Saccharomyces cerevisiae S288C: one gene and its partners. The gene in region 2 interacts genetically with the main gene of each other region. Each region holds a gene or a part of one and is shown on either strand. Other genes may lie near its edges. The genes, in order: SMF2, MAS1, SMF1 and CYM1.

What was found.
Region 1: of MAS1 (region 2) and SMF2, extra expression of one rescues a mutant of the other (dosage rescue), as found in Saccharomyces cerevisiae (one study listed by BioGRID).
Region 3: of MAS1 (region 2) and SMF1, extra expression of one rescues a mutant of the other (dosage rescue), as found in Saccharomyces cerevisiae (2 studies listed by BioGRID).
Region 4: mutations in MAS1 (region 2) and CYM1 are lethal when combined (synthetic lethality), as found in Saccharomyces cerevisiae (3 studies listed by BioGRID, with this or other methods).

The regions. Positions count from the first base shown.
Region 1 is NC_001140.6:204,074-211,692, reverse strand, and holds SMF2 (divalent metal ion transporter SMF2), read right to left. Parts: upstream 4,040-7,619; coding exon 2,390-4,039; downstream 1-2,389. Other genes in the region: CIC1 (Cic1p), read right to left, coding at 1-845; COX6 (cytochrome c oxidase subunit VI), read right to left, coding at 1,542-1,988; YHR050W-A (uncharacterized protein), read right to left, coding at 2,048-2,218; FSH1 (putative serine hydrolase), read right to left, coding at 4,500-5,231; YHK8 (Yhk8p), read right to left, coding at 5,542-7,086. UniProt on the Saccharomyces cerevisiae protein: High-affinity manganese transporter involved in manganese uptake from the extracellular environment.
Region 2 is NC_001144.5:487,972-495,100, forward strand, and holds MAS1 (mitochondrial processing peptidase), read right to left. Parts: upstream 5,284-7,129; coding exon 3,895-5,283; downstream 1-3,894. Other genes in the region: YLR161W (uncharacterized protein), read left to right, coding at 1,026-1,370; YLR162W (uncharacterized protein), read left to right, coding at 1,602-1,958; RRT15 (Rrt15p), read left to right, coding at 2,435-2,623; protein SHH4, read left to right, coding at 5,912-6,418; pseudouridine synthase PUS5, read right to left, coding at 6,523-7,129. UniProt on the Saccharomyces cerevisiae protein: Catalytic subunit of the essential mitochondrial processing protease (MPP), which cleaves the mitochondrial sequence off newly imported precursors proteins. Preferentially, cleaves after an arginine at position P2.
Region 3 is NC_001147.6:87,363-95,218, reverse strand, and holds SMF1 (divalent metal ion transporter SMF1), read left to right. Parts: upstream 1-3,799; coding exon 3,800-5,527; downstream 5,528-7,856. Other genes in the region: MCH4 (Mch4p), read left to right, coding at 1-363; 60S ribosomal protein eL18 RPL18A, read left to right, coding at 817-928, 1,376-1,824; 40S ribosomal protein eS19 RPS19A, read left to right, coding at 2,369-2,388, 2,779-3,193; HRP1 (Hrp1p), read right to left, coding at 5,771-7,375. UniProt on the Saccharomyces cerevisiae protein: High-affinity manganese transporter involved in manganese uptake from the extracellular environment. Also contributes to cellular accumulation of other divalent metal ions such as cadmium, cobalt, copper, iron and nickel.
Region 4 is NC_001136.10:1,323,467-1,332,587, forward strand, and holds CYM1 (pitrilysin family metalloprotease), read right to left. Parts: upstream 5,005-9,121; coding exon 2,035-5,004; downstream 1-2,034. Other genes in the region: BNA7 (arylformamidase), read right to left, coding at 1-773; TIF35 (translation initiation factor eIF3 core subunit g), read right to left, coding at 1,011-1,835; mRNA-binding protein NPL3, read left to right, coding at 5,317-6,561; GPI-anchor transamidase GPI17, read left to right, coding at 7,771-9,121. UniProt on the Saccharomyces cerevisiae protein: Degrades mitochondrial transit peptides after their cleavage in the intermembrane space or in the matrix, and presequence peptides; clearance of these peptides is required to keep the presequence processing machinery running.

The DNA of each region.
Region 1 (7,619 bases), on a different chromosome or scaffold from region 2:
TTGATAAAAATGGATCTGATTTGGTATGCTTTGATTAACTGTTCAGAAATTAATTCAACGTTATCTACAAACTCTTCTGGCCTTAACCATTCTAAATTACCCAAATGGACATTCAACGTGGTACCTCTTGGAAGTTTAACGGGCAACTGATTCATGTAAACCTTTTTGATATTGTTCGTCAAAGTGGTCAAGGAAAATTCCTTATTTGCATGTGTTCTAATTGATATAGGAGTAGTTTCTACTTTGTTGTAGGCTTTGCCTCCCATAAGTTTTGGCAAAGATGTAACTATACTGTCGTCAGCCAAAATCAAAGAAAACTGAGATATAAAAGCGTTTCTAGCCTCATATGCCTTGTAAACGGTCTTTAAGTCTTTCCCGCAAATGATTTCATCAACCTTGATTCCTTCTGAATCTAATTGATCAAATAAATCATCTTCTGAAACTTTCTTAATATCAGAATCCTTCAAAATTAATAAAACTTTGAAATCCTTAACCGCTGTTGCACTGGCTTCTTTCCAAGGCTTGTAAAACGAATGTTTGACATTTAGTAATTTCAATTTGAATGATTTGGAAGTACCGGTGAATGATTTATTATTTACTACGATTAATTGCAGATCTTTCTTCAATTCTTCTTCATCATCTTCCAATAGGTTTTTCTTACCGTTATTTCCTTCTTCATTATTTTCATCTTGTGGCTTGGAAGTGAATTTTATAAGCTCGTTGACAGCTTTAATAACTCTTTCCCTAGGAATGGCTGTGGAAGATTTCTTTTCAATAACCTTCTTCTTTTCTTTGCTTGGTGTACTTACAGGCGTAGATTTCTTTGAGTTACTCTTTTTAGCCATTTTATACTTTATAGTCTGGAACGTAGGTTTATCTGCCTGCTGTCTAATATTTCTTATAAAACAGACACTATTCTTTATGCAGTATACAAACGCTTTTTGTTACTTTTCAAAATTTGCGATGAGCTCCAGTGGAAAAATTTTTTTCAGGAAATTGTCTTTAATTTTTTTAGTATGAAGTGACATCAACTTCACATTTATTGACGCAACGGTGAAGCACAGAATAGAATAGTAATTCTTTAATGGTATATTCTAGGTTTTTGTTTTTTATATAGTTATTTATTGTTTTATTATTTTTCCCATTCTTCTTTCCTGAAATAGAACACAAAAAAGCTACTAACAAAGGATATTAAAGGTAATCTGTGACCAGCCCTCATTACCAAAAATAAAGTTTGTTCAAGTAATAGAGTAGAGAAAACAAAGTGGAAATCATAATGGTTAAATTTAAATATTTTTCTTTTACTTTTCTTATTTCACCTCTTGTGATCTTATCGTTGATTTTGATATATTAGTTTCTGAGTGGATGAATATCCATAAAGGGTAAAACAAATAATAAGGTAAAAGGGAAGAAAAAAAAAAAATAAAAACTAAAATCGTTTTACAAAATAAATACGAATCTTATTTCAAATTGAGGAATTTTCCACAAATAAAAAAAGGACAACAAATTACAGACGTTGTGTGGTAGCTTTTTCCTTATTATTAAGAAGAGCTTGGAAATAGCTCTTCCTTTAAGGGAACGCCCAATTCTTGTCTGACATCCTTCAATTCATCCAAGTAGGCCTTGTATTGGTCTTCATTCTCCACCTTGTATTTCAAAGCCTCAAATACTCTAATTGCGGTAGGTAAGTCATTGACTCTTCTGGCAGCCCTCAAAGCTTTTTCAATAACAGCAGGAGCAGGAACTAAATCATAGGAAAAACAGTTGTTGAGCACTCTTTGCACTTCAAACAAATCATAGGCTTCATCAAACTCCTTTTCGTATCTTGCGGTGAATTCCTCAAAGGTTTCTTCATCATGTGCGTCAGAATACTTCCTACTTTGAATAAACGTATTTTTAGTCAATCTAGTTGCATGATAAGCACCAGGTCTGGCTCTCAATAAAGTTCTATTTATAACTGGATTTCTGAATATGGCCCTTGATAACATTGTTGTATATTTATTAGTTTATGTGTCAAATACAATTGTTCGGCTGTTTATCTCCGCTACTAAGTCTCAGAAGTGATACAATTTTTCAAATTGTAATAATAAATAAGTGTGCTAAAATGTGGATGAAATGTAAAGAAATGAGGTAACCTTGAGATCTGGCACCTTGATAAGCAAGAGCAATTGTTGATCTTTATTAATGCTTTGACCGGACCAATTAGGTCCCTTTTCATAGGGAGATTCAAAGAAAGCTGTAAGCGGCGGAAATAACGCGCGGGGCCCTGATTGGCTCGTATGGAGCGATACGGCCATCAGTATAGCCTAACACCAACTTTTTGATTGGAATTTTCTGTTATTATTCTTGGATAAAATGTATACTTATACTAGTCTAAAGAATTGTTATATTAGAGGTGTACTTCTTTGCCCGTAGTAAAGCCCAGTAACATATAAAAGTTCAGTCCGGAGATAATCAACCATACTATGATTGCGAGCACGGTGACGATCATTCCATTGCTCATGTCTTTGTATTCTGGAGCAGGAGAAACTAAGCTGCGCTCCTGTGAGCTGCTGCCTATGCCCATTTCTTCGAGCTCAATGGTCTCATCATCTTCGGTTCGGTCGGCCACGGGTTTTTTGTCTGTAGTTCTTGAAAGTTCTTTGGTACGGTTAAGCTGTACACGCATAATCTTCTTGCTTGAAGTGAAGTAAAGTAAAGGTGCAGAAACAAAAGGCAGCAAGAGAGAAAGTACCACTTGGGAAGCATTTAGTGCACCAGAGAGGCCGCTACGTCCAGCTACAAGCACTAAAATCAAACAAGGCGTGATGGCTACCGCTCTTGTGGCGGATCTTCTCAATGCCGGAGAAACAGTCCAATTTAAGAACCCTTCACTAACCATTTGTCCACTCAACGTACACACGATACCGGCACTCTGTCCTGAAAACAACAATGCCAGCACGAATACCGTTCCCGCTCCCTTGGAAAGAGTACTACAGAGTAAGTTGTAAATAGAAAATAAGTCAGCTTCCTCAGCATTTTGAGTGGACCCGTATAGTGTAGCGCCAGACACGATAAGAATGGCACAATTGACAAATAATGCCACCGTGAACAGCGAGATCAGTAATTCCGTTATAGTAAAGTGCAGAGTTTCACTGATGGCCTCATAGGATGGCCTGTAATTATCGTGATTGTTATCCATATCATTCGCGTCTGGCAAGTAATGTCCGTTTTTGATATCATACTCTCTTAATCTTGGTTGAACCACACCTGACCCCAAATATAATGAATGAGGCATTACCGTGGCGCCCAGAATTGCCAGACTTAAGTATAACCCATCACCTTCAAAAACGGCTTTACTGGGTAAGAACCCAGAAAATATTTCTTTGGCAGGTCCCAGTTTGGCATAAAACAGTTCAACAGTAAAGCAAACTACGGTAAGAACCACCAATAAAGAAACAAAAGCTTCAAATATTCTGATACCCTTCATGGAACCGTTAGGTTTGTAAGCTAGCAGAACAATTAAAACGTCTACCACAGTAAGTATCACACCTAGGGCGAGAGGTATATGGAAAAGGATATTCAAAGAAATAGCGGTTCCTACCACTTCTGCCAGATCTGTGGCAATAATTGCCATCTCCGCCAGAATATAAAGAGTAATGTTAAGTCCAAAGGGCAAATGTTTCTTACAATTTTGTGCCAGATCTAGGCCAGTGACAGCACCCAATCTGGCGCAGAGGTACTGCCAAAAAGCAGCCATGAAATTAGAAACTAAGACAGAAAATAAAAGCTTGTACCGATGAGCAGAACCCGCTGCTACAGCTGTACTATAGTTACCAGGATCCATGTACGATACAGATACCATCAAACCAGGACCGATGAACCTAGCATATTTTCTCAATGTTCCGATCATGCTCTGGGATGTTGAGTTTGGCTGCAAAGTTGTTCTTCGACGCGACTCATGAGTGGTATTCACGTCGGCATACGCATCGTTGACACTATCATTATTTGTTTGGGATTCATCGCTCCATTGAATAGGTTCATATTCTTGGGACGTCATCAAACATAAACGCTATACGGAAAATTAGTGGTTAAATGGCAATAGAGATGTGCTAATATTAGTATCAAAACAAATAGTTGTTGAAGAGGGTTTTCTAAACGGTTAAACGCGTTTGATGGTTAAATGACTAGAAGCAAAAGGAGACTGATTCTGAAATTTAATATGATTTCTTTTTTTTCTGCTGTTTCTCTTCTGCATTATTTTCTTCCTTCGAGAAAGAGTATAAGTATGTTTAAAAAGGTCTTCGTAAGCCACGCTAAAGCACCCCGGGTGGATTTTTCGCGCCGGGCGGGGTTAGCAGCACGCAGGATGGAAGAGAAGAGAAAGGATGCTACAAACTTGTGGTTCATTCTATACAAAGTACTTATATGTATATATACATACTCGATCAGCATTTCACTCCACACACCCTGCGTGTGATAGTAAAAAGCTAGAAAGCAGGTAAGCAACAACCTACGATTTATTCAGAAGCTTCTTGTAAGGAAGAGGTTATTTGTTCAACAATTGGTCTGATAATGTCCTTCTTGTTTGGAACCATATGTCCACCAGGGTGTTCGTAAGCCAACACCTTTTCCTTATTACCATTTTGCGCCTTCAAATAAATATCGTACAGGTACTTGGATCTGACGGATGGGACGGCTTGGTCAGAAGCACCATAGATGAAGATCATCTTGGTCTTCATGTCTGGTTTTACCGCAAATGAGTCTCTGAATTTTTCGGTTATTCTCAATTCTCCAGGATGTTCTGGGTCTGGCTCGGTGAAGGAATAGCCGGAAATGACTACACTTACCTTGAATTGTGGATGGTCTGGAACTAACTCTGAGATCTTGTTGGTGATGATAGAGGACAATGCGGCACCTTGAGAGAAACCGACAATGCCGTCGTATGGGCCATTGGCCTTGATGTGATCAACAACAGACTTCAAACCTTCTGAGATATCCAATTCGTGAGAGATTTCGCTGTGATAGAACCAGGCTCTGTTAACATCCGCATCTAGGGTGGCTTGCCATTTTTCATCATCCATTTCAAATGGCAAGTCCTTCTTTTCTAAAAGGACTGGTGCATCAATATAGTCACATTGGACATTAGCCTTCTTCAATAATTTTCTAATACCAGATGATTTTTCGGAGAAAACTTTACCGTTTTGCAAGAAGCCGTGTAAAAATAATAATTTTGGAATTTGTACAGTCATCCTTCGTTTATTACAAGCTAGAGAGTTTCAGATTTAGCTGCTACTTTTACTAGAAAATTAAGATTGGCCGCGTACATCTGGCATTTTGCACCTTTATGGTTTATATACAATATACATTGCAGCCAAAAACATTCGAAAACTAGAGAAAAAGAAAGAAAACATGCGAGAATATGCAAAAATGAAAAAATGCAAAATTTCTTTTTTCTTTGGCCTATGCGTGTTGCCTTTTGAAGATCCGAAACAATCTATCACCAATGACGTAAGCGGGAAAAGATTATGCAACATCCAAAGGAAAAAATATGCAAAAAAATCAATCATCCCATGCATACGGCGACTTGGCTCTCAGTCGGGCACCGTATTTGGTAAACAGAAATGGGACAGGAATCATCGCTACGGTCACCATTGCCAAGAGAAAGCCGGCCCAATTCACTCCCATTGACTTGTACATCTGGAGTCCGAAAAGAGGGAAGACACCGGCCATTATGCATCTCACAAATGTGTTACAAGCCATTCCAGAAGCTGCATATCTTCTATAGGCATCCACTGTATACGCAAAAACACCGGTAAAGACGAAATAAACACCTGAACCGAAAATTGCACTGCCTATAATTGGTGCAATCCAATGGACATGCTTGTAGCAGGTGAATGCAAAAATGAAGAGCCCAACTGGGGTCAAAAAGGCGCCGTAGAACAGAGGCTCGAATCTCATTTCGGGAGTCTTGACGCCATTATTTCTTTTGACTCTCCACTCAAACGTTTTTTGGAATAACAAGCAAGTAGGAGCCGAGAGTATCATGCCGACCATAATACCGATATAGGAGCATGCAATCTCCATGGGCCCAAAGTTGTAAAGTTTCTTGAACACATAAGGAAACGCTACGAAATATAAATATATTATGGCAAGTTCCAATCCAGTATAGAAGCAAAGCACACCCATCATTCGGTCTCGAAGTAACAGGCCAAAGGGTCTTTTGGTTGAGAGAAAGATTGCGGAAAGTAAGGAAGTCTGTTCGCGGGTGACTTCCAGGACAGCATAATACCGTTGATCATTTTTCTCTTTCCTCAATCTCTTAGCTTTACGTATTAACAGCATTGGTTTGTAGGTTTCAGGTATGGTAAAGATGATCATAACGAGACAACATCCAGAAGTGATGAGAAGTGTGATAAATGTCCATTTATAACTTTGATGGTATAAGGCTCCACCAATGATTGGTCCTAAAGAGGGCCCCAAAAAGGCCGATGTAGTGTATATTGCCATAGGAATACCAATTTGGTCTTTGTCGAATATATCGGCAATGGCGCCGCCAGCCACACTTAGAAAGGCTGAACCAAAAAACCCGGATAGAAATCTGCCAAACATGACACCCGTAATGGTCTTGGACCAAATGGTCAAACACTGCCATATGATACTGAGCGTAAGGGCGTATAAAAATGTGATCCTTCGTCCATATAGTTCACTTAGTGGAGACAGAAATAAAGGTCCTATACCGAGCCCAAACACATAAAGCGTAATTCCCAGAGTGCTGACTTCGTGCGAAATATGAAAGTGTTCGATTATGTGCGTTGAAGGAAGCGTCCAGCTGGACGAGATCATCGTAATTACCATCGATGTGAATGTAATTAACGAGGAAATATAATACCGGCGGGCGGTGCTCATATGCCGTGCTATATCTTCTGGGTCCGCGATGTCCTCGTTGAAGGTCACTTCATGCGATTGTTTGCCGTCATTTTTTCGTTCACTGGTCAATTCCAGATCCAGTTTTGCGGCTTTGTCTGAGTTTATTGAACAATGCTCTTCTTCAGTAGATGTCAATGCCGATGACTGTGCACTCGCTATTTGAAATTCTGCAACCATATCCTGTTGTTATATCTGCATATATATGTTCTTAGTATACAAGGTGATACCATACACCAAATGTAAGGCAAATATGCCTTTATATAGGGTCCAGGTGAACGTAACGCATCTAATAACAAGTGTTATTGCTTGACCTAATAATCTGAGATGGTCGCTTCACCGGTAGAAAAATTCTCTGCGTATTACTAATCTCAACAATAGCCAACACTAAATCCGTAGGACCGGCGAAAAGCGTGCTAATCTCCGCTTTATTGCCGGATCCGAAAGGTGTTTCTGGCATCAAGATGTTATAAATCACGGAATTAAGAGAAGGATATTAAATGTGCCATTGCATTTTATTGATATTTCCACTCACCCAGAGGGATAATAATGATCAAAACAGATATACAATTCAGCTCCACTTTTACCTGCGCAACATGACATTTCCAGAACTAGCTTACAATTCGTACACCGGTTATAATTGGTTTATGGTTTCCAATGTAGGACCAATTTTTAGAGATAAATACTGAAGCAAATATTGGATTTCTTCTGTG
Region 2 (7,129 bases):
CATTGAACTTACCTCAGAACGGGCCGGAGTCTTTGCTTTCAGTCTAACATGGTCTAATTTCTTCGAAAAGCTTCATTTAATTGTTAGACTGTGGTTTTACAAGGAAAAAACCAGTGCTATACTGAAGCGATACCCAGAACTAATTACCTTGTGTGACGATTCGGCTCAGCGAAACGGACATGGTAAAATTGGGAATTTGAAAGCAGGCAGCAGCCTTGTACAGCGACATGACGATAGGTTTAGAATCCCCATCACGTACGAGTTGAAGAATTCTACGAAGGCTCTATGCGTTATTCCTCTATCGGTATAAAGTGTAGCGTTGTAGGGGGGATATTGGTGGTTTAGTTGAATTTGCGCAACGAAATTATAGAACTCATAAAAGTTCAATTCAATACTTGAAACCCTTAACGTTGGTTCGACCATCAATTGTTTGGACATAATAGTTTTATTCTGCGGCCGATTTCAAAATTTAGTAAATCAAATGTTGAAGCATCACCAGTAGGATGACCACTCCCATGACAAAACTCCGTCCCAAAGATAGCTTGATCATCCTAAGCGGGTCGCATTTTACTATCCCCAGTTCCGAAGAATAACAAGGCTCAATGCATATGCTGTTTATCGTGCTCACAAGGCGGTATGACGTTTTTAGCAATGTAATTATATTAAAAAGATCTTCAGTCACTATGAGTGGTTGATTGCCCCATAGAGAGCTATAAGCCGACGTGAAAGCTGCTGGTTCCAGCTTGGCTCATGTCGTCACCAGTCACTAGTCACTTGGTCGCATTCATTGCTACTCATCTGCGAGTGAGCATATTTGAGATCTGACTTGCCAAGGGATTAGAATCACGTAAGACTCTTGATCCTTAGAAGATATTTCTGACAAAGAACCACCTAAGCCATGCAAGTTTTTTTTTTCATTTGGTGGCGAAACAAAGGTGATGAAAGTTTCTTCTTGTACAAACGCCAAGCCCGATAGGTGAGACAATTCTTGAAGTAATGGACCTCTGAGTAAGCATATCAGTCGAATGAAGTTCCAATATGCGTTGGCCAAGGAACAGCTAGGCAGCAACTCGCGCAGTGGCGTCAAAAAACTAATAAGTAAACACCACTGGCTTCCGGAATACTATTTCTCTGATCTCTCATTTTCTGTTGTACAGCAGTGGGACAGTAGAGCCATTGAAAAAACTACAATCATATCTTGTATGCGGCCCGCAAACCAAGAGATTTATCCTTTGAGACATTGTGAGACCCTCCGTTCGCAACCGTGCTCTCTGTTTTCATCACTATATGCACGCTCTTTCCAAAGCTCCTGCACTTTGCACGTGGCGGAGCCATCGCCCGGCTTCCATATGTACGGCTGCCACACCTAACTATTTCGGTTGCGGCCATATCTACCAGAAAGCACCGTTTCCCGTCCGATCAACTGTAGTTAAGCTGGTAAGAGCCTGACCGAGTAGTGTAGTGGGTGACCATACGCGAAACTCAGGTGCTGCAATCTTTTTTTTTTTTCCGCGCGCAAGCACGTTACCCGGACCCCGTCTTAGCACACGCACACGCACACGCAGCGCTCACAGACCAGCGAAACAGACCTGAGAGCCACGATGCAGCACACGCTTACCCGGACCGCCTCTCTGCCAGAACGCTCGAGCAGCGCCCACAGCGCCGCTACTGCGTTACCCGCACTTCGCCGCCCGCCAGACAGCTGCGAGACTCTCGTCCCGCTACTGTGTATCTTTTGGTTCGTCTTCGTTAGTATGAGCCCGCTCCCGCCGGCTCGTGCCAACAAATCAGACAACAAAGGCTTAATCTCAGCAGATCGTAACAACAAGGCTACTCTACTGCTTACAATACCCCGTTGTACATCCAAGTCGTATACAAATGATTTATCCCCACTCAAAATGACATTGCTATCCGCCGGCAAGCACCCAAGGCCTTTCCGCCAAGAGCACCGTTGCTAGCCTGCTATGGTTCAGCGACGCCACAAGGACGCCTTATTCGTATCCATCTATATTGTGTGGAGCAAAGAAATCACCGCGTTCTAGCATGGATTCTGACTTAGAGGCGTTCAGCCATAATCCAGCGGATGGTAGCTTCGCGGCAATGCCTGATCAGACAGCCGCAAAAACCAATTATCCGAATGAACTGTTCCTCTCGTACTAAGTTCAATTACTATTGCGGTAACATTCATCAGTAGGGTAAAACTAACCTGTCTCACGACGGTCTAAACCCAGCTCACGTTCCCTATTAGTGGGTGAACAATCCAACGCTTACCGAATTCTGCTTCGGTATGATAGGAAGAGCCGACATCGAAGAATCAAAAAGCAATGTCGCTATGAACGCTTGACTGCCACAAGCCAGTTATCCCTGTGGTAACTTTTCTGGCACCTCTAGCCTCAAATTCCGAGGGACTAAAGGATCGATAGGCCACACTTTCATGGTTTGTATTCACACTGAAAATCAAAATCAAGGGGACTTTTACCCTTTTGTTCTACTGGAGATTTCTGTTCTCCATGAGTCCCCCTTAGGACATCTGCGTTATCGTTTAACAGATGTGCCGCCCCAGCCAAACTCTCCTGGCGAAATTTATTGTTTTTACATAAACTGTATTATGAACAGAAGGTAGTAGTGCATTAGAGGTATTACATATCACGTGATGTTTATTTCTTTTTACCTATATATGGATTGAATATTAGAGTTACCCTACGTTCAATTTCTAGATTCTATGGTGTTACCCCTGATGAGTTCTGCATCTGTCCTATCTACCTATTTTACCGTTTTGGACGAATATTAAAGGGCGGGTAACACAAATACTGTCTGCGTAATCAATCTTTTTAGGACTAATTAAGGGTAGTTCCATAGTTATTAGAATCGTATTTCTCGAATTGAATTTCCTTCCCTATGATAAACTTCTACACTGGAAGGTCATCATTATTTTTTGTTAAGTACTTTACGAATGAGAAGGTAGTTTATCAGCTTATATTTCAGGTCCGTTGACTTTTTCTGGCTACAGTTGTTTTCAACTGGTGCTGCTGCAGGATATAGGAAGTCGAAGATTTATTTTTTTGCACAGCTTAATGTTCCTGGCGAAAAAGCAGCGAAATCGAGAGGTATTTACTGCTCAGAGATATGAAGAGGTAGGTACATATTCATTGGCAGATATTCTACAATGCAATTATTATGACCAATCACACAGTATTGTGCTGACCTCCATTGAGCGATGACTAAAAAAACTTTTAGTAGCACGTTTATTATTGCTTTCCCTTGCTGCTATAAGGGAAAATTCAGTAAATAATACCGAAGATATAATGGTGTTTATCAGATCAGTGTGATGTGTTCAGCTAAATGGAAAGCTACAGATGCTATCTGATCGAGATATTGCAAGAAAAGGTCTCACAGTATTTTTTTCACGTGCTTTTTTTTCAAGGCAATGACCAATATGAAACGATCGATGAGCATAGTAAACAGTATTATCTGGATAATTCTGTATGCAATGGTAACGGATAACTTAAAATCTTTATGTTAAGTATATACAATTGCATCACTTTTTTTTTTTTGGCTTGTGGCTTATATTAACAAATTTATTGTGCATTTTTTGCAATCTGAAGGGCTGCTTTAATATTGAATACGGGAAGGGCCCTTTCACACCCCACTATAAGTGCAGTTTTAGGAAGAAAGTATTAATGTATCCTTCAAAAAAGAAAATACACGTGCTGTTAATATACCGACATCGTGTTTTGGGGAATGGGTACTAGAGCCGCCGATATCTATTCATATTTTTTATGTAGCAACATCTCATTTGAACAAGAATTTATTGACATAGAACTTTATACAAGTATGAAGAGAAATTAGAAATTAGCAGAGATGTGAAATGAACTTACTAATAAATCGGCGTGGTCATTGGTTCAGTTTTTCTTCGATATAGGATACATTAGGGACAGTGGATGTATTTCCTAGGGCAACCATTGAAACTGGTTTGTTTTGTAATCTGTAATTTGCCCACATAATAATATCATCCTTAGTGATTTTATCAACCTGCTCGAAAACTTCTTCTGGTGATAATCTTTTACCTGTGGTCACCACTTGTCTGCCTATATCTTCTACAATGGCTGTCGATCCATCCAACGATAGCAACAGAGCTGCCTTTAGCTGAGCTTTTGCCCTATTCACCTCTGCATCCGATATTTTGCCAGATTTTATTCTCTTCCACTCTTTCAGGATCTCATTAACAATTAACTGCACGTTATGCTCATTAGAATCAGTTACTATGTACATTCCCCACAGACCTGAATCAGCGTAAGAGGTGGAAAATGACATATAAGAATTAGCCAAAGAACCATTTTGACTTGCTGCAACAGCTAATGGAGAGGGGGAGTTTGTACCTGTGCCAATGGCTCTGTCCCAGTTACCAACAATCGCTTGTGTTGCCAGAGCTACAAAATAATCAGGTGCAGACCATGACACGCCTTCTAATGCGATAGCAATATGTGTTGTAGGTAACGTGTTTTCTTTGATAAACCTTTCACCTCTACAAAAAACTGGTAATGGGCCCCTTGGTGATCCCAACGGGACAGGCGATTCAGATTTGGGCACATGGCCAAAGTATTTTTGAGCATACTGTACCAATTTTTCATGATCAACAGCGCCCGCACCTGCCAATACCATTCTGTCGCCTTTATAGTTCTTGGTTATATAGTCTTTCAAATCAGTTCTTGTTATTGATTTTATGTTTTTTATAGGACCCAGAATGGTTCTTCCTAAAGGTTGGTCCTTATACGTAATCTCATGAAGATGGTCAAAAACAACTTCATCATACATCTTGTCCACCTCTTCACTTTCTCTGATGATGACATCCCTTTCTCTCTCAATAGCACTATTATCTAAAACTGACTTAGTCAAAATATCACTTAGAATATCAACAGCCTTTGGGATATCTTCTTGTAGGGACTTAGCATAATAAACTGTGTTTTCTCTTGATGTATATGCATTCAAATGAGATCCGATATTTTCAATTTCCAATTCAATTCCTTGTTGTGACCTATTCTGAGTACCCTTGAAAGCCAAGTGTTCTAGAAAATGCGCTGTACCATTGTTTTTTACGTTTTCTGCCCTAGAACCAGCATCGACAAATATTCCAACAGTAGCCGAAGATGTGTTGGGGATGTACTCTGTGGCAATTGTCAACCCATTAGGAAGTTTAGAGGTTCTGGTTCCTGGAATTTGTGAGGAAATTGTACTTAAAAGCCTCCGTGTATTACGGAACTTGGATGCTGTTCTTGAAAACATTGTATGATCACCTATCACTTTGCGCACTAGTTTGATGCCTGAGAGCAAGATATCATGATTTATCCATAGCGTTCAAATTCACTTCTTATTACTAAAGAGATGAGTCCAGCTCGATTACGAATATCACTAAATACGTGAAAATAATATTGGTCATCTAATCTGTGCACTGAACAGTAGTATCACCCATTGTTGGCTGAGAAATTAAGCTCAGCATTTTAGCTTTCCTCACTACGTGTTGAGGAATTTAATACGTAAATATAGTCTTAGTAAAGCCGTGCATTTTACTTCTTAACTCCTTTGGACGGGATCAAGTTTAAGGAGAATAAAACCCTGATTCGCACCTTCAACGCGGCTCTAACATGGTACTATCAGACTCTCACATCCAGATTGGAGTACCCTTATCCGAAGTAACGATTTTTTATTACGGTTTAAGATAATAAGGGACGCGTATGATAACTAAAAATCGTCAGTTGAAGGGCGCTGGCCATAGGTATCCCTTAATTTTGACGTCGAATTTCATAGAAGCAAACCTATATATTTTCAGTCCCCAGTGGACAGACCGTTTATCAGTTCTAATGAATCAGCAACGATTCTCAAAAAGGTTGCCCCAATTCTTAGGAAAGTAGGAATGTCATCGACTAAGTTTTTGAAACCACTCTGCAGAATAAGGGCTTTTCATACTTCAATTGCCAGATCCTTTACCATTCCTTTTCTGCCAAAGATTCCACAGAAACCTGGAGGTGTGAGTGGGACCGCAAATGATTCCTCTTATATGCCGCCCGAAAGCAGAGCTCAGGGTTCGTACCATTGGATTGTCGAGCGCGGACTGTCCTTAGCGGTTCTTCCGCTGATCGCAGTTCCCTTGGTCACTACAGGCCCTATTTCCACTTTTACCGACACATTTCTTTCCTTGGTCCTGCTAGGTCATTGTCATATCGGATTTCAGTCTTGCATTATAGACTATATTTCTGAAAGAGTCTATGGAAAGGTACATCATTACGCGATGTATTTATTGAGCTTGGGCTCCTTTTTATCGTTCGTCGGTATATATAAATTAGAGAGTCAAGAAGCTGGTCTTATTGCCTCTTTAAAATCATTATGGGATAACAAACCTGTGGAAAAAAAGAGGCAGTAATCATCAATTAATCAATATGGTTTGGTTAGTGGTGACTACCTTTTTTATTCTCGTTATATATGTGTATTAGAAATAATTTAATAACCGATTATTTATTGCTTATTTTACTGGTCCCAGTTTTCCAACAGGACTTCTTTTATGGGCAAAGTGAACTCACCCTCTTCATTGACGTATTTTCTTGACCAAAGTTGGCCAGTATTATTGTGTTCCATAGGTATCAAGTGCGTTTTAGTTTGCAGGCCAATTTTCGTTATTATGCACGCTGAATGCAACGCTATTTGGTCATTGAACAACTCTGGAAAATTGACAGTGCTGCCATGTCTCTTGTCGTTTAATATGGGCTGATTTAAAATTTGAGAGACGTGATTTCGAATCTGATGTTTTTTTCCTGTAACCAATTGTAAAACAATACAATTTTCGTCAACTTCTTTGAACTTAGTAATCTCCCTACCACCATGTGAAATCAAGAAATTATATTTAGGACCATATTTAATTTCATAGTTATTTGGTTTGTTGAAACGACCGGACGACTCGACAATAGCTACATACTTTCTTTGCAACTTATAACCGTTGTTGCCGCCCTTTTGTAAAAATCTAGAGAATTTTACACTTCCGTCTTTAGTCTTTGCAATCAGCATCCCCCCCGTAACACAATGGTCTAACCTATGTACAGTACGACATAATTCTACTTCTCTATGTGAATAATAAATA
Region 3 (7,856 bases), on a different chromosome or scaffold from region 2:
ATTTCAATGGCTGCCTTATTTAATTTTGTCATGTGGCTGCCATTTGGCGGTAATACAAAGGTACTTTGGGCGTACGTTTGTTTGTGGGGGTTTTCGACGGGTTCTATCCTATCACTGACACCCGTTTGCATCGGGCAGATATCTAAAACTACTGATTTTGGTAAACGTTATGCAACGGTATATCTATTGCAAGCGTTGGTAACGATTCCGGTTTTACCTATCGGCGGTACCTTAATCGGTAAAGGTACAGTTGCAAATTATAACCATTTTATAATATTCAATTCAGCGTTAATGGCGGCAGGTGCGGCATGTTATATAATATCAAGGCATATTTGCGTTGGTGCGAAGCTTTGTAAGTTTTAAGGTCAGCGTTCAGAAGCGTTCCAATAGGGGGGGGGGGGGGTATTTCGTTGATACCTATGTGGCTATATAGTCGATCTAGCTTTAAAAACTCTAAAGCATATATACATATATACATATTTAGCGTCATGCCAAGAATTCATAATTTCGAAGACTGTTTTCTACATATCTTATGTGGTGTACGGATATGAATTTTTTTACCGAAGACAATAATGCATGGGTGTTAATTCTATTTTTTTTTTTTTCTAATTCAGAATGAAATTTTTTTCTTGCTGGAGATTACAGTGGAAATTTCGCTCCAACACACGCACTCTCTCTGACTTGGTGCTGCCGTGAGATTCTGGTTCCTCAAGGAATATTGTATGAGATAATTTAAAACAAATTGAGTTGAAGATTCATCAATTCTGCCATTTTGGATCCATCACAAGAAGAGATCATCAAGCTTACGGATTCACAATGGGTATCGATCACACTTCCAAGCAACACAAGAGATCTGGTCACAGAACTGCTCCAAAGTCTGACAATGTCTACTTGAAATTGTTAGTCAAATTATACACTTTCTTAGCTCGTATGTTCAAGAATAATATCAAGGGTTTTAACCAACGCCAATTATGGTTAGAAGGATTCTGTTACATTGAATATAATAGATTATCCTGAACTTTGGTAAGTTCATTGGTTTTCTATAAATATTCGTTATGGTTTGCTGAAAAATATTGGTTAATGTTTTTCGCGATCATCTAGCTTTGCTTCTGATGTGACAAATTATTGGTCAATTTATTGAACTGAATCTGGCTAAAATAGTCATACCAGAAGAAGCTAGACGTATTAAAATTCTGCGAGTGCAAACGGGTATATTTGAGGAACGATATGTTTCTTTTACATCACGTTTTGTGCGGTATTGCAAACCAGTGAGCAGAATCTTTTTCTAATTTAATGAAATATTTGTACGGAAAACTATTGTTTTCCGGTCCTTCGATCCATTAGTTACTAACATTTTTTCATTTTTTTTTTTTAGGTCGTACTGATGCTCCATTCAACAAGGTTGTCTTGAAGGCTTTGTTCTTGTCTAAGATCAACAGACCACCTGTTTCTGTCTCTAGAATTGCTAGAGCTTTGAAGCAAGAAGGTGCTGCTAACAAGACTGTTGTCGTTGTTGGTACTGTTACTGACGATGCCAGAATCTTTGAATTCCCAAAGACCACTGTTGCTGCTTTGAGATTCACTGCTGGTGCCAGAGCCAAGATTGTTAAGGCTGGTGGTGAATGTATCACTTTGGATCAATTAGCTGTCAGAGCTCCAAAGGGTCAAAACACTTTGATCTTGAGAGGTCCAAGAAACTCCAGAGAAGCTGTCAGACACTTCGGTATGGGTCCACACAAGGGTAAGGCTCCAAGAATCTTGTCCACCGGTAGAAAGTTCGAAAGAGCTAGAGGTAGAAGAAGATCTAAGGGTTTCAAGGTGTAAGTTAACTGAAATGAAAATTTCATATTTACTTTTTTATTGTTACTCATTTGTAATTCATAAACTACATACACTTTCAATCGTTTCTTTCAAACTACATAATTTTTACTGGCGATCAATAACGCATTTAGTTCATAAAGTGAGTCAAAGTTAACACTAGAATATTTGCTACACCATCAATAGGCTAGACCATAGTTGAAAACTTTCATAATAAATTCTTCCGTTTTCAATCTTCATATACTGTGTCTCTAACCATGATACCGTGACACAACTACATCCGTACACATGTGACGTTCGTTCAACCCGTACATTTATATAAAACCGTTCTGGCGGCCTTTTATTTTTTTACATTTCTTATGATCGGGATTGCAGAACGCCGTGAAATTTTTCAATGTGAGGTTCGGCCTTGTTTGCAAAAGCCCTATTGAGATACCGGAAAGATATAGGTGAAATGAAGAAAACTATGGGTTGTATATCTAATACCCCGGTGCGTTTATTAATATTTTAGCTTGAAAGCGAAGTGATACGATCGACAAATAGAGTAAAAATGCCAGGTGTTTCCGTTAGGTACGTAAAAATGACATATCATAATGATTATTACTATATGTTTCGAGTGGTTAGATGGAAATAAAACGCAGTCATTCCAGCAGCATAGACACGCAAGCAAAGTACTTCTTCGTCAAGTTAAATAGCACCCATGGTTAAATCAATGATATATCAACTGTCCCATAATAATTGAAACAAAATATTGATCAAATTTCGCGAATGAGTGCAATGTGTAAATATATGGAAGAAGAGGGAGATTAAGGGTAGTGGTGCTATTTGCTCTTTGTTATTACTAGGATTTCAATTCCTTCCGATAAGTTCTCATGAAACGTAATGGTTAATGAAAGTATTTTTTTTAAACTGTATCATTTACTAACAATAACTTTTTTGTTTTGATTTTGTTTTCTACAGAGACGTTGCTGCTCAAGATTTCATTAATGCTTACGCTTCTTTCTTGCAAAGACAAGGTAAGCTAGAAGTTCCAGGTTACGTTGACATTGTCAAGACCTCTTCTGGTAACGAAATGCCACCACAAGATGCCGAAGGTTGGTTCTACAAGCGTGCTGCCTCTGTTGCCAGACACATTTACATGAGAAAACAAGTTGGTGTTGGTAAATTGAACAAATTATACGGTGGTGCCAAGAGCAGAGGTGTTAGACCATACAAGCACATTGACGCTTCCGGTTCTATCAACAGAAAGGTTTTGCAAGCTTTGGAAAAGATTGGTATCGTCGAAATCTCTCCAAAGGGTGGTAGAAGAATCTCTGAAAACGGTCAAAGAGATTTGGATCGTATTGCCGCTCAAACTTTGGAAGAAGACGAATAAATATAAAATCTATAATTTATATATATATACTACTACTACAATTATCATCATACAAGTAATAATAAAGTTTAAAAGCTACAACGAGGAGGGGAATCCTATTGCGAAGTTTGGTGTCACATGGTTTGAAGAGCCTTGTTAACGCGCTCTTCTCAGTTCTACTTTCTTCTTCAATTTTGTTGGCCGATTTTCTTCTTTATTTGGCTAGCCAGTAATTTTTTTTACTGCATATAGTAACCGCAACGCCAGTAGCTTGGAAGGAGCGTTGTTTAAACGACAGCCGTAAACTTAGAATAGTACAGAGTACTTCTGTAGTAGTAATGCGCGCCAGAAACCAGCTTGCTTAGATGTTAAATCATCGGAATCAATCCTGTTCGCATTCCTGTGCCGAAAATATTTCGACGTACTACGTGGACCCTAGCGTCCCTAAATGCAACAGTTTTTTCTAATTTAGGATTTGTTAACTCCGCCGGGGTGATTTGATGCTGCAATATAAATATACATAGAATAATATTTGGCTGCTCATCATTGTGCGAGCATATTAATATTTCATGAATAGGTAGAAAGATATATATCAGCAGAAAAACTAACTTTCTCAATTAGGTCAAAATGGTGAACGTTGGTCCTTCTCATGCTGCAGTTGCTGTGGATGCTAGCGAAGCCCGCAAAAGAAATATTTCAGAAGAAGTATTCGAACTGAGGGATAAGAAAGATTCTACAGTGGTAATTGAGGGTGAAGCCCCGGTAAGAACTTTTACCAGTAGCTCTAGTAACCATGAAAGAGAGGATACGTATGTTTCTAAAAGGCAGGTAATGAGAGATATTTTTGCTAAATACTTGAAGTTCATTGGACCTGGATTGATGGTTAGTGTGGCTTACATCGATCCCGGTAATTACTCTACTGCCGTCGATGCAGGTGCCTCTAATCAATTTTCCCTACTTTGTATCATTTTGTTATCAAACTTTATTGCCATATTTTTGCAATGTCTGTGTATCAAGTTGGGTTCCGTTACGGGACTAGATCTAAGTCGAGCTTGCAGAGAGTATTTACCACGGTGGCTCAACTGGACATTGTATTTTTTTGCAGAATGTGCCGTTATAGCCACCGATATAGCTGAAGTGATTGGTACAGCGATTGCCTTGAATATCCTGATCAAAGTGCCCCTTCCAGCGGGCGTGGCCATTACTGTTGTGGATGTGTTTTTGATTATGTTTACATATAAACCTGGTGCGTCATCAATTAGGTTCATTAGAATATTTGAATGTTTTGTTGCAGTATTAGTTGTTGGCGTGTGCATTTGTTTCGCAATAGAATTGGCTTATATCCCGAAGAGTACGTCCGTTAAACAAGTGTTCAGAGGATTTGTGCCATCTGCCCAAATGTTTGACCACAATGGTATTTATACCGCTATTTCCATCTTAGGTGCTACTGTTATGCCACATTCGTTGTTTTTGGGTTCCGCTTTAGTGCAGCCAAGGCTTTTAGATTATGACGTTAAACACGGTAATTATACTGTTTCTGAAGAACAAGATAAAGTGAAAAAATCTAAATCCACTGAAGAGATTATGGAAGAAAAATATTTTAATTATAGACCCACGAACGCTGCTATCAAATATTGCATGAAATATTCTATGGTCGAATTAAGCATAACTCTCTTCACCCTAGCGCTTTTCGTCAATTGTGCCATCCTAGTTGTTGCGGGCTCCACTCTATATAACTCACCAGAAGCAGATGGGGCAGATTTGTTTACTATTCATGAATTATTATCAAGAAATCTGGCACCCGCAGCAGGTACGATTTTCATGCTCGCACTTTTATTAAGTGGTCAATCCGCAGGTGTAGTGTGTACTATGTCGGGTCAAATTGTAAGTGAGGGTCATATTAATTGGAAGTTGCAGCCATGGCAAAGAAGATTGGCCACTAGATGTATTTCGATAATCCCTTGTTTGGTCATCTCTATCTGTATCGGTAGAGAAGCTTTATCAAAGGCCTTAAATGCTTCCCAAGTTGTTTTATCCATAGTTCTGCCATTTTTGGTAGCACCTTTAATTTTCTTCACATGTAAAAAATCAATCATGAAAACCGAAATTACCGTCGACCATACTGAAGAAGATAGCCATAACCATCAAAATAACAACGATAGATCTGCAGGTAGCGTAATCGAGCAAGATGGTTCTAGTGGCATGGAGATAGAAAATGGAAAAGATGTCAAAATCGTTTATATGGCAAACAATTGGATTATCACTGTTATTGCTATAATTGTGTGGCTTTTCTTATCTTTACTGAACGTTTATGCCATTGTTCAATTAGGCATGTCTCATGGTGATATCAGTTAATGTCTGCCTCTTACATTCTTGCGCACAATAACATTAAGATTATTTGTAAGCTTTATGACAGCTGTACTTCAAGTAGAGCTTGTGATTATACATTCTAGCATAGTGAAAAAAAAATAATAACTATTCGAAACTAATACACGTACATGTATATATATATTATAAATTGCTTATGCTTATTTAATAGAAGGGTTGTTGAATTATACAAGAAAACTTTTCTCTAGTTTTCTACACTTTTCTTTTTTTTTACCTATTATATGGATGGTAGCCATTATTACGTCTATTGTATCCACCGCGACCACCACGGCCGTTTCTTCTATGGTTTCCACCACTACGGTGATTGTAATCGCGGTCACGATCGTTACGATCACGATCACCGCGATCACGGTTGTAGCCATAACCGCTATTGTGGTCATCATTGTATTGTGATGGGCCCTTTGGACCATTAGGTAAATTCAATGGCGGTGAACCAGAGTCAGTGTTTGATGTATTACCAATAGTTTGGACGTCATTGGATTTATTATTATCGGAATCAGAAGGTGCTGGGGAACCTTGAGTGGCATTTGAATCTTGCTGTGGTTGGTTTAAAGTCATTGCATTAGGTGGCATGGCAAACCCTGGCATCATCATTGCCATTTGCTGCATTTGTTGTTGGTACATTTGAGTATAATCCATACCAGTTTGCTTTTGCATTTGTTGGTAATATTCTTGCATCTTTTGATAGTAATCTGTCATTGCTTGCGGATTCATCATTGGGTTGTAACCGCCCATCATAGGGTTTTGATACATTTGGTTGAAATCGCCTTGGTTACCGAAGTTACCGCCACGACGATTCATGTTGTTTCCACCATTGTTACCACCATTGTTTGATGATTTTTGTTGCATATGTCTTGGCTCAGCTCTCTTGATTTCGATCTTGCGATCTTTGAAATCGATGAATTTATTCTGACAAACTCTGTCAACGGCGTCAGCGGAGTCATACGTCACAAAACCAAAACCTCTTGATTGACCGGTATCCTTATCTAACATCAGTTGCGCATCGATAATCGTACCCCACTGAGAAAAAAATTCTTCAAATTCCTTTGGTCTCACATCAGGACCAATACCACCAACAAAGATTTTACCGGTTTTATCTTGCTCGTCTCTTGGGATAGCTCTTTTTGGGTCGATAACTTTACCATCGAGGATATGTTGTGTCTTTACCACTTCATCAACACTAGAAGGTTTTTCAAAAGATAAGAAACCGAACCCTCTAGATCTACCTGTTGCAGGGTCTTTCATGATTTTCAAATCAGTGACGGTACCATACTTACCAAAATATTCGCGAAGATTATCTTCCGTAGTGTCCCAATTCAGACCACCAATGAACATCTTGCAACTTTCTTTAGACAAATCCGCTTTCGAACGTTCCTCTTTGGTTTGAGTTACTTGCTGTTGAGGTGGTGATTGAGAAGATGGTTGCTGGAATTGTGACATGGTTTGTTGAAGTTGTTCCCAAGGTAAGCCAGAAGGTCCTGCAGAACTAGCGTTGGCATTGGCATTTGCTGATGTAGCGCTTTCTTGTTTTTTTTCATTCTTAGTGTCTTCATTGGAACCTTCCTTGTCATTCGCAGTGCCATCTTGCTTACTAGAAGATGTGTCTTGGTTACTATTATTACTACTACTGTTGTTACTATTTGGATTATTTAGTTTGTTCAAGCTAGAAGATAATGCTTGTAGTGCGGCTAGTTGATCTAATTGCGAGGTACCACTGCCAGCCTTATTTTGTTCTTCTTCTTTTTTGACTTCTTCAGTAGTGGTAGGCTTATCATCGCCGTAGATGTCGTTGAAATCTTCTTCGTCAGAGCTCATTGCTTATTTAACTTATTCTCTATTTTCTCAGACTTGTGTATACTGCTAAAGTTCTTTATAAATAAAATATTTGCGTCTTTTATGAAAAGATTGTAATATAAACAGTAATATTAATACAGAATAAAAAAGGGCCAATTGTTTGTATTATGCACGCTTTTTCAATTTCTTGTTTATTGAGTATACCTTTTCTGTCCGTATTTTTTCTTTTTGTTTCTTTCGCAAAAAAGGTTAGAAAGAAATCTAGTAAGGTATGAGATTTTAGTTATTAAACACTAAAAAGTAAAAGATACACGTAAAAAATTTATAACAGTATATTGTACTAATACTTGACTATCTGCAAAATTAAATAACTAGTCGAAACTGTTCAATCCTTTGTTTTTAATTACAGTGGCGGAAAGGAGAGAGCGGAAGAAAATTTAAGAGCGCCTGGGCGTGTGGAAAGCATGCGCCTTTTATACTTTTTTTGCTTTGTCCAACAAGA
Region 4 (9,121 bases), on a different chromosome or scaffold from region 2:
TCAAAAATATACTTCGCAACTTTACCATTCTTATAAACATCATTATGCAAACCCAAATCGTCCAAATACAACTTGAAACTTAACTGATAATCCTGAAGACAAGAAATTAAACAATTAGTTTGTCTTAACGTTAATAACTCGTCGCTATAAGAATGCACTAGGTGCATATCAATACTGAAGCGAGAAAGGGCTTTCTTCACGTAAGGCATTACTCTCGAGGGCTCTTCCTCGTACATTTGAATACCATCAGGGAAGGCAAGTCTTGTAAAACAATCATACTCTGGGTATTCTACCAACAGTTCCTTTAACGAGTATATACCATCCAATAGAAATACTCTCTTCACGATCTGCAAAAGTCCCAACATTTGCAATTGCGCTTCACTCATTTTTTCTTGAGGATCTTTGAGTGCAGCTAATATCTGCCAAATAAAGGTAGCTCCAACGGAATGTCCCACCATATTAATGTTCGTTAATCCCTTTTCTTTAACAAGCCTTGTTATATTTGACACAGCATCATATAAGTTTCTTGGATTTGTGATCTCTGGTGATAACCTGTATTCTATAGAGTATTGACAAACCGTTGACTCAGTATCCATTGATTTGATGGTATTGGCTAATTGATTAAAATCATTGGGCGTATTCTCAGGATCGTTCCATGCACCTCCATGAATGTATATGACAGCCTCTCTAGTGTTTTGTGAGATTTCTTGGAATGTCAATGTCTTGTTGAATAGTGTTATATCTGGTGAAATGGCTCTTACGGTATTTGACATATTCACGACAGCCTCTGAGCTTTTCCTTGCTTTGATTTTTTAGCTTGAATGGATTGCAACTTGTTGTAATCTTACAATCGTTAAAAATTTTACCATGCCGTGCGTGCTTTATAGAATATTGAACAATATTCTTTTAGGTATAGATTGATTAGTTTACATACTTTCTTTCTTAATATCTACAATTTTTATATGAGAAGAGTAACATTAGAAAACAAGTGCAGAGCATATTCTGTGCATCTATTCCTTAACCTTAGGTTTGGACCATTCAACACGTAAAATTAAATTCATATAACCCCTACCATCCAAGAAACGTAAAGCTTGTTCGGCAACTTCTTCGCTCGAAAAGGTAACAAAGGCGAGACCTCTTGATTTACCTGTTTCTTTGTTTCTAACGACAGAAACTCTTGGAATGGGTGCGAATGGGAACAATAACTCTTCTCTCAAACTATTTTCATCGGCATTTTCATTAACTTGCATAATCTTCAAAGTACACATATCATCACGTTCTCTAGAGTCTCTGTAAGCATCGGATGAAGGATCTCTTGCACCAGCACGACGAGAAGGTGGAACATACTGCCCTGGGATGGAACCAGCTCCGCCAACTTGGCCTGCCTTCTCTTCACTGGCGGCCTCGACACCGCCTTCATTAGTGGCTGGGTCTTCTAATGCTGAAAGTTCACTTAAAATTGTCTTGAATGGACAGTTCATGGTCATATGGTCGTTACCACATAATCTACATTGTAGACCGGTCTTTGTGAGACTTGCCTTTTCTTTTTGTATTCTTTCTTCTTCAGCTTGTTTCCAGTTCCTACTCAATCTTAATTCTACTTCTTCACCCAATCTTGCTGTAACAGCACTTGGACCTGCTGGAGACCCTTTTTCAGAGCCATATTTATGCCAGTTTTTTCTTTCTGCAACAGATTTATGGACTTTTTCCAATACTTTAACCTCTTTTACTTTCTGAGTAATCTTATACTTGACACCGTCTTCAATCTTGTATGTAATGATAGATCTAGATCCATCTGCATTCTCTATGATCTCCTCTGGTGCAACTTCACTCATTATTCCTGGTGGTCTTTGGTCTTTTGATCCTTTCAATACAGCGAGTAACTAGGGCTTCTCTTCCCTCTCTTTTGCCATCGTGATAATTTTTCACTTTCCACACTCAGTGAAAGAAAAAAATTTTAACTTCGTTACAAGCGATGAGTATAGATCGGCAAGAAACTTTGAAGCAGTATATTTACAGGATTAAATTATATATCTACAGTTCCTTCACCTCCCAATTTGGTGAAACAGTCTTCCCCTCGATTCCAGGTCCAATGACCGTACTCACCCCTTCTTTGTTTAGTAGATATTTTTCGGCGACTCTATGAACGTCCAGGAGAGATACGTCTAAGAGTTGTTCCCTTCTTGCTTGTTTCATATCGTCTGTAACACCGCTCATGAAATACGTCACGCCTTCTCCTTTGGGACTTTTAGGTGCGTCTACTTGTTGAAATATTGTCAATTTAGCTTCATCAAGGTCTGTGACGCCCCACTTGGCATCGTTCAGTATATAACGCCCGCTATTCTTGAAGGTTTCTAAACTCTTCAAAGGCTGAGGATCCCTATAGGAATAGAAACTGAAAATACCCGCTAAGGCGCTATAAGAAGCACCACCACCATAAGCACCACCCTTTTCTCTGACTTCTCTGTGCAAATGTTTGAATGTTAGCATATTTGACATAACTTGAAGTGCAGAGCCATCCTTATGTGTATACGGCACACCCAATAAAGCTTGGGATGTGTAATGGACCTGGAAAGGAAATTTTATCAAAGTATGTTTACATTTGGATCCAATAAGAGGATAATCTGAAGTCTTTGGTCCATTGGGCAAGCAGCTGCCATGAGGTAATCTCTCCATGAATTTTGAAATTTGGCTTTCTACTGTTTTCGCTTGAACATCAGAGTCTGAGGTGATAAAAAAATTCATGTTATTGGTATCAACAATGTACTTTTGCAATTCAGTTAGCTTGTCGACAACTTCTCTTTGGAAAGTTTCTTCATTGTCTAACAAGCTGTGCAATCTATTTATAAATTGTAGTTGCTCAATACCATTGAGGGTCTCATTTATAGCTCCACTTGATCTATAATGTGCGGCAGAATAGCCCCTTGCAAATGCATGACCGGCATCTGCTACAGAAGATGTGTTTGAAGATGCTAATAAGCGGATAAGAACTTTCAATTTATCGCTGTTTTTATGGAAATCAGTTTCTAGTAAGATCTTAGACCAGAATTCAAAAATGTGGTCGGTCTTCGAATTTAAAGACCATCCGTCAAACCCGAAAATCAGGCGAGGCTCTGTGGTGTTAGGGTCAGATGTAACCTCTACATGTGTTGATATACCACCCGTATGTAATTTTATCTGATCTTCTATTTCACTGAAGGATTCTGTTGTTGTCCCTAGGTTAGTTAACGATTCAGCAAATAAAGGTAAGTATGGGAAGAGTTCAAAGGGTATTATGTCATTTAGTAAACGTTTACCTCTGACATATGTGATACCATTGGTATCAGTAATCCTAGACATTGTATTATTCTTCTGTTCGATTGAATATTTATCACCAGCTCTTGGGATGTCTTTTATTTGTAAGGTAGGTAAACAGGATAAATCTTCTTTTTCATTTTGTTTCTCCTGTAACAGTATACCACGTTTAAAGATGTTTTTCTTGTCTTGTTCATCCAAGGCAGTAATTTTTTCTCTCAGTCTTGTTTGTTCTTCATCATCCAAAGATTTAGAGAACTCTTCAGATCCCTGAATGGAAAACGTGAAACAAGGTTTATGAACGATATATTTACGGATTAAATCTTGGAATAAAGTATCACCTTTCGTTTCTAAGTCACCTCTAAATCTTTGCAAAACGTCCTCAAACAACAAGCTCTCAAAAGGATCGATTTTGTTTGTCCAACCAGGTAGTATAGAATAGAGTAATTGAAGTCCAAAGTCAGCCTTTTGATCCTTCTTAGATAATTCCAATTGTTCAATTATGGCATCGATACGCTTGCGGTCAAAAGGATGTTCTGTTTCCAACAGGTTTTGAAAAATATTATTTACAGTGTCTTTAAATATTTCAATATCACTCACGCCCTGTATACCAACAGTTAGCAAATTTACTGCTGTAGTTGGTTCAACACCTGAATTTACGGAGAACTCCAAACCAATTCCTGATTCTATTAATTTTTGATACATTACAGAAGAATGGCCATCCATTAATAAATTCCCCAGTACTTTTAACAAAAAGGTATCATATGTGTCCTGTGGCGCTCCACAAATCCACGTCATTGAGGCTTTTGTCTGCTTCTCCGGTGGAAGCATAGTATCTATTTGACCCAGTAACTTGACATCTATGTCTTTTTTTAAATCAATAGGCATTAACAACTTATCCTTTCGAGCTCTCTTCCCGTAACCACTGAACTGCTCATTTAATTGCTTTAACGTATCCACCAATGGCAAGTTACCGTACGTGAAAGTTTTTGCATTGGAGGGATGGTAATTTTTGTGATGGAAATCCAAGAGATCGCCGTATCTCAAGTCTGTAATTTTCATAGGATCTCCGCCGGAGTTATTCAGGGAAGGATAAATAGACTGTTGAAATTTACTCCAGAAATAGTAATTGGCATTTGATATTTGACCTTTCATTTCGTTATAGACAACACCTTTGAAAACAATGTTACTCTCCGGGTCTGTGATGTTTTTATGCTCCAACCTCCAACCCTCCTGATCAAAATCTTCTTGTTTAAGTAGCGGATTCAAGGTGGAGTCTAAATAAACACCTCTTAAATTAGCGAAATCTTGAGGGTTCGTAGTGGAAAAGGGAAAAAATGTATAATCTGGACCTGTCATAGCGTTCATGAAATTAGCTAGAGATTTATTTAGCATTTTGAAAAAAGGGTCCCTAACTGGATATTTAACAGACCCACACAACGTTGTATGCTCTAGAATATGAGGGACCCCAGTGGAATCTGGAGGGTTGGTTTTAAAAGCAATGCTGAACACATTATTCTTGTCGTCTCTATCAATATGCAAATGCTCGGCTCCTGTCTGGGAGTGCACCAAATCTACCGCAGTGAGTCTCAGCTCCGGAACCGGTAGAATTCTTCTCACTTCATAACCATGGAATATACCTCCAACTGGATATTTTCTAACGGCCTGTGCTTGGGCATACGAGGACGCAAATCGCTGAAACCGCAACATATATACCGCAGTATATTTTATAGTAACTTTATTCTTTTGAGTAGCCTTCTAATTGGTGGCTTATTGATTACAATTGCTTGTTATCATATCTGTCAATGCTTGTTCAACAATTCAATGATTTACTACTACCTTTATCATAGAGCCCCTCCGTATATTTATCACTGTAAACGAAGGGCAAAATTTTTTACATTCTTTTTTTTCGCCACCCAAAGGGATTTAAAAAGGACATGAGAAAAATAATTTCCTCTCTTCTAAATATATATACTTTTGAAGGAATCAAAATTAAGCAATTACGCTAAAACCATAAGGATAATGTCTGAAGCTCAAGAAACTCACGTAGAGCAACTACCAGAATCTGTTGTCGATGCCCCAGTCGAAGAACAGCACCAAGAACCACCACAGGCTCCAGATGCTCCACAAGAACCACAAGTTCCACAGGAATCTGCTCCACAGGAATCTGCTCCACAAGAACCACCAGCTCCACAAGAACAAAATGACGTTCCTCCACCATCTAATGCTCCAATTTATGAAGGCGAAGAATCCCACAGTGTCCAAGACTACCAAGAGGCCCACCAGCACCACCAACCACCTGAACCCCAACCATATTATCCTCCTCCTCCTCCAGGTGAACACATGCACGGTCGCCCACCAATGCACCACCGTCAAGAAGGAGAACTCTCGAACACCAGATTGTTTGTTAGACCTTTCCCATTGGACGTTCAAGAATCCGAGTTGAATGAAATCTTTGGTCCATTTGGACCAATGAAGGAAGTCAAGATCTTGAACGGCTTCGCGTTTGTTGAATTTGAAGAAGCAGAATCCGCTGCCAAAGCCATTGAAGAAGTTCACGGTAAGAGTTTTGCTAACCAACCTTTGGAAGTTGTTTACTCTAAATTGCCTGCCAAGAGATACCGTATCACCATGAAAAACTTACCAGAAGGTTGTTCATGGCAAGATCTTAAAGATTTAGCCAGGGAAAATAGTTTAGAAACTACTTTTTCTAGCGTCAATACCAGAGATTTTGATGGTACCGGTGCTCTAGAATTCCCTAGTGAAGAAATCTTGGTCGAAGCTTTGGAGAGATTAAACAATATTGAATTCAGAGGTTCTGTCATTACTGTTGAAAGAGATGACAATCCTCCACCAATCAGAAGATCAAATAGAGGTGGCTTCAGAGGTCGCGGCGGCTTCAGAGGCGGCTTCAGAGGTGGCTTCAGAGGCGGTTTCTCCAGAGGCGGCTTCGGTGGCCCCAGAGGTGGATTTGGTGGTCCAAGAGGTGGTTACGGTGGCTATTCCAGAGGTGGCTACGGTGGCTACTCCAGAGGCGGATATGGTGGCTCCAGAGGTGGTTACGATAGTCCTAGAGGTGGTTACGATAGTCCAAGAGGTGGTTATTCCAGAGGTGGCTATGGTGGTCCAAGAAATGATTACGGTCCTCCAAGAGGTAGCTACGGTGGTTCAAGAGGTGGTTATGATGGTCCAAGAGGCGATTATGGTCCTCCAAGAGATGCATACAGAACCAGAGATGCTCCACGTGAAAGATCACCAACCAGGTAAGCCATTTATATAGTTGAGAAAAAAAAAGGAGAAATTAACAAAAGATATGAATTGTTTTAAAACTTAAATATGAGACTGAGAACAAATGAAAAAGGAAAACATCGTATTAAATGTTGAAAAAGTTTTTTTTTTGAAGAACTTCCTCCCCATTCCCTCCCCTCCCTTTTATTAAGTATAGTTTTTGTTTATTAATAAGTTTAGTGTTAGAAGATCCCAAAGTATATGATTGAAAACAGAATTGTTTATTGCGAGTCCCGACTTCACTCCAGTAGATAGAATAATCCCATGATAACATTTAACATCCTTTTTACAACGGAATTTCATTTCCAAATTGATGAGTCGTTAAAACTTCTGTATTGGATTTTAATTAGACCTTCTTTCGTGTAATACTACTACTACTACCTCTAGATTCTTATGTGTCTTTCAATTTTTTTTATTTCCCTGCACCAAACTATCTTTTATTGAATGGAATGTGCTGCAAAATTAACAAAAATAAGTTTTACTTAAAGTTTCTAACGAGAATCTCCTCTTCAACATACGGGCAGGATAATATAATTGACTATACTGATAATGAACCCCGTTTTTTGTTATCTTGTGAGATAACTCAGTGGAAACTTGATCTAGCAGTAGACCAGTTTCCCCTCCCCCAATTAATACTAGAAAGTTGAGAAACTACAGAAATCTTGTAATTTAACCATTTTTTTGTCCCAAGCCGATCTATTTTGGATATCTTATTGTCATTTTTCAAGTGAAAAAAGGTCTCCCTTTCTATACGAGAGTTCTCATATGGAATGAGAGAATAAGCGGTAAGATATCGAACATTCACAAGAAATAAAGTACCAGTTAAGAGGTGCAATTGAATATATACAATATCCTATCATCTTAGTCCTTTGAGTATGCAAAAAGCTACAAATATAGTTGTTAGTTTGGGTCAGGCTAATTTCAAAGAATTTGAACTCCTATAAAGTTAAGTTGAAGAAACTAATAAGTACTATTATGGCCTGTTAAATCTGTGTTACGTATTAAATGATGTGTAATCCAGAAGTTATAAATAATGAAAGATGTCCTTACGTGGAGCTTAATAACAGAGATACAAAGTTTAAAAGGGAACTCGTGTACTAATTGAAGTGTGTACGTGTGCATTAATATTAATAAGGGATAAATAACGATAAAAGAGCCGCTCTTTGATAAGGATTACACGCCAGAATAATGTCCAATGCAAATCTAAGAAAATGGGTTGGTTTTTGCTTTGTTGCCATTTATCTCTTTTTAGGTGTTCCACTGTGGTACAAGCTAACTACAGTTTATAGAGCATCACTACCAATAAATTACATTGAGTCACTTCAAAATAACAAATTCCAAGATATTCATCTCGTAATACCGGTGTATGTTAAGTCAGATACTTACAGATTTCCTGACGTTCATGACGCTATCCAAGTACAAGTTAACCATTTATTGAATTCTCAGGAGCAACGGGTCCCTTGGTCTTTACAAGTTCTTCCATATAATGAGACTATTGAGCAGATGGAAAGTGAAGGCAACCAGTTTCATGTCGTTACTTTGAAGTTAGACGAATTTATTGGTTACTCATCAGCTTACGACACCAAAGAAACACTAGTATATTACGACGATGCTGCCGTTTTAAGTAATGATCTACCGTTTTTTGTTGCTCAAACATTGGTAGAGCACACTTTCCAATTGGAATGGACGCATTTGAATAAAACGTGTGAAGGCGTTTCTACAAACAACGATGTCGCAATATCTTATGATCCAAACATTCATTTAAGTGTAACTTTATTGTCAGGTGATGGGAATCCTGTTGCATGGGAAATTGAGCCTACATTAACTGACTACTTTTCACCTTTTAGGAAGTTCTTATCACCACTGGTAAATTTTACAGTAGATTCATCCATTGTTTATCATAATGATTTGAATTTGCATTCATTAAATGGATCATGTACAAGCGTTACGTGGTTTGATCTCTCTCATACTATTGATCTTTCTGAACTTTCTTCAATGGCCTATTACCCAGAAGATTCTGCACTGAATTTAGCCATAGTCTTTCCTAGTGCTTCTTCAAGTCCCGATGGTCTGGCGTTCATTAATGGCACTCGGATTTCAGACGAAATAACCACATTAGATTGGAATAGTTATCTAGTTCCTCAATGGGGGGTTATAATAATAAATAAAATGCCGTTGAAGCCAAATTCAGTCATTAGCGAAGATTATTTAGAACCTATGATGTACCGTTTTGCGACAGATATTTTTCAACTATTGGGATTAACGGAGGGCTCGCAAGATTTGTTATCACCTTATATTACCATAGATTCATTCAAAAGGTTGACAATTTTACAGAATCTAGATAAAGCTACGGAAACATTATGGTCGTTAGTGAAATTAACTCAACAATTTCAGGGCATGTCTATCCCACGCGAAGTATCGGATAATGTTATCGAAGCTTTAGACTTAAGGCTACAGATTATTGATTTATTAAATGATCCTGGAAAGGGTGGAGATATCGTCTGGAACAATGCCCTGCATCTAAGTAATGAATTGGTTA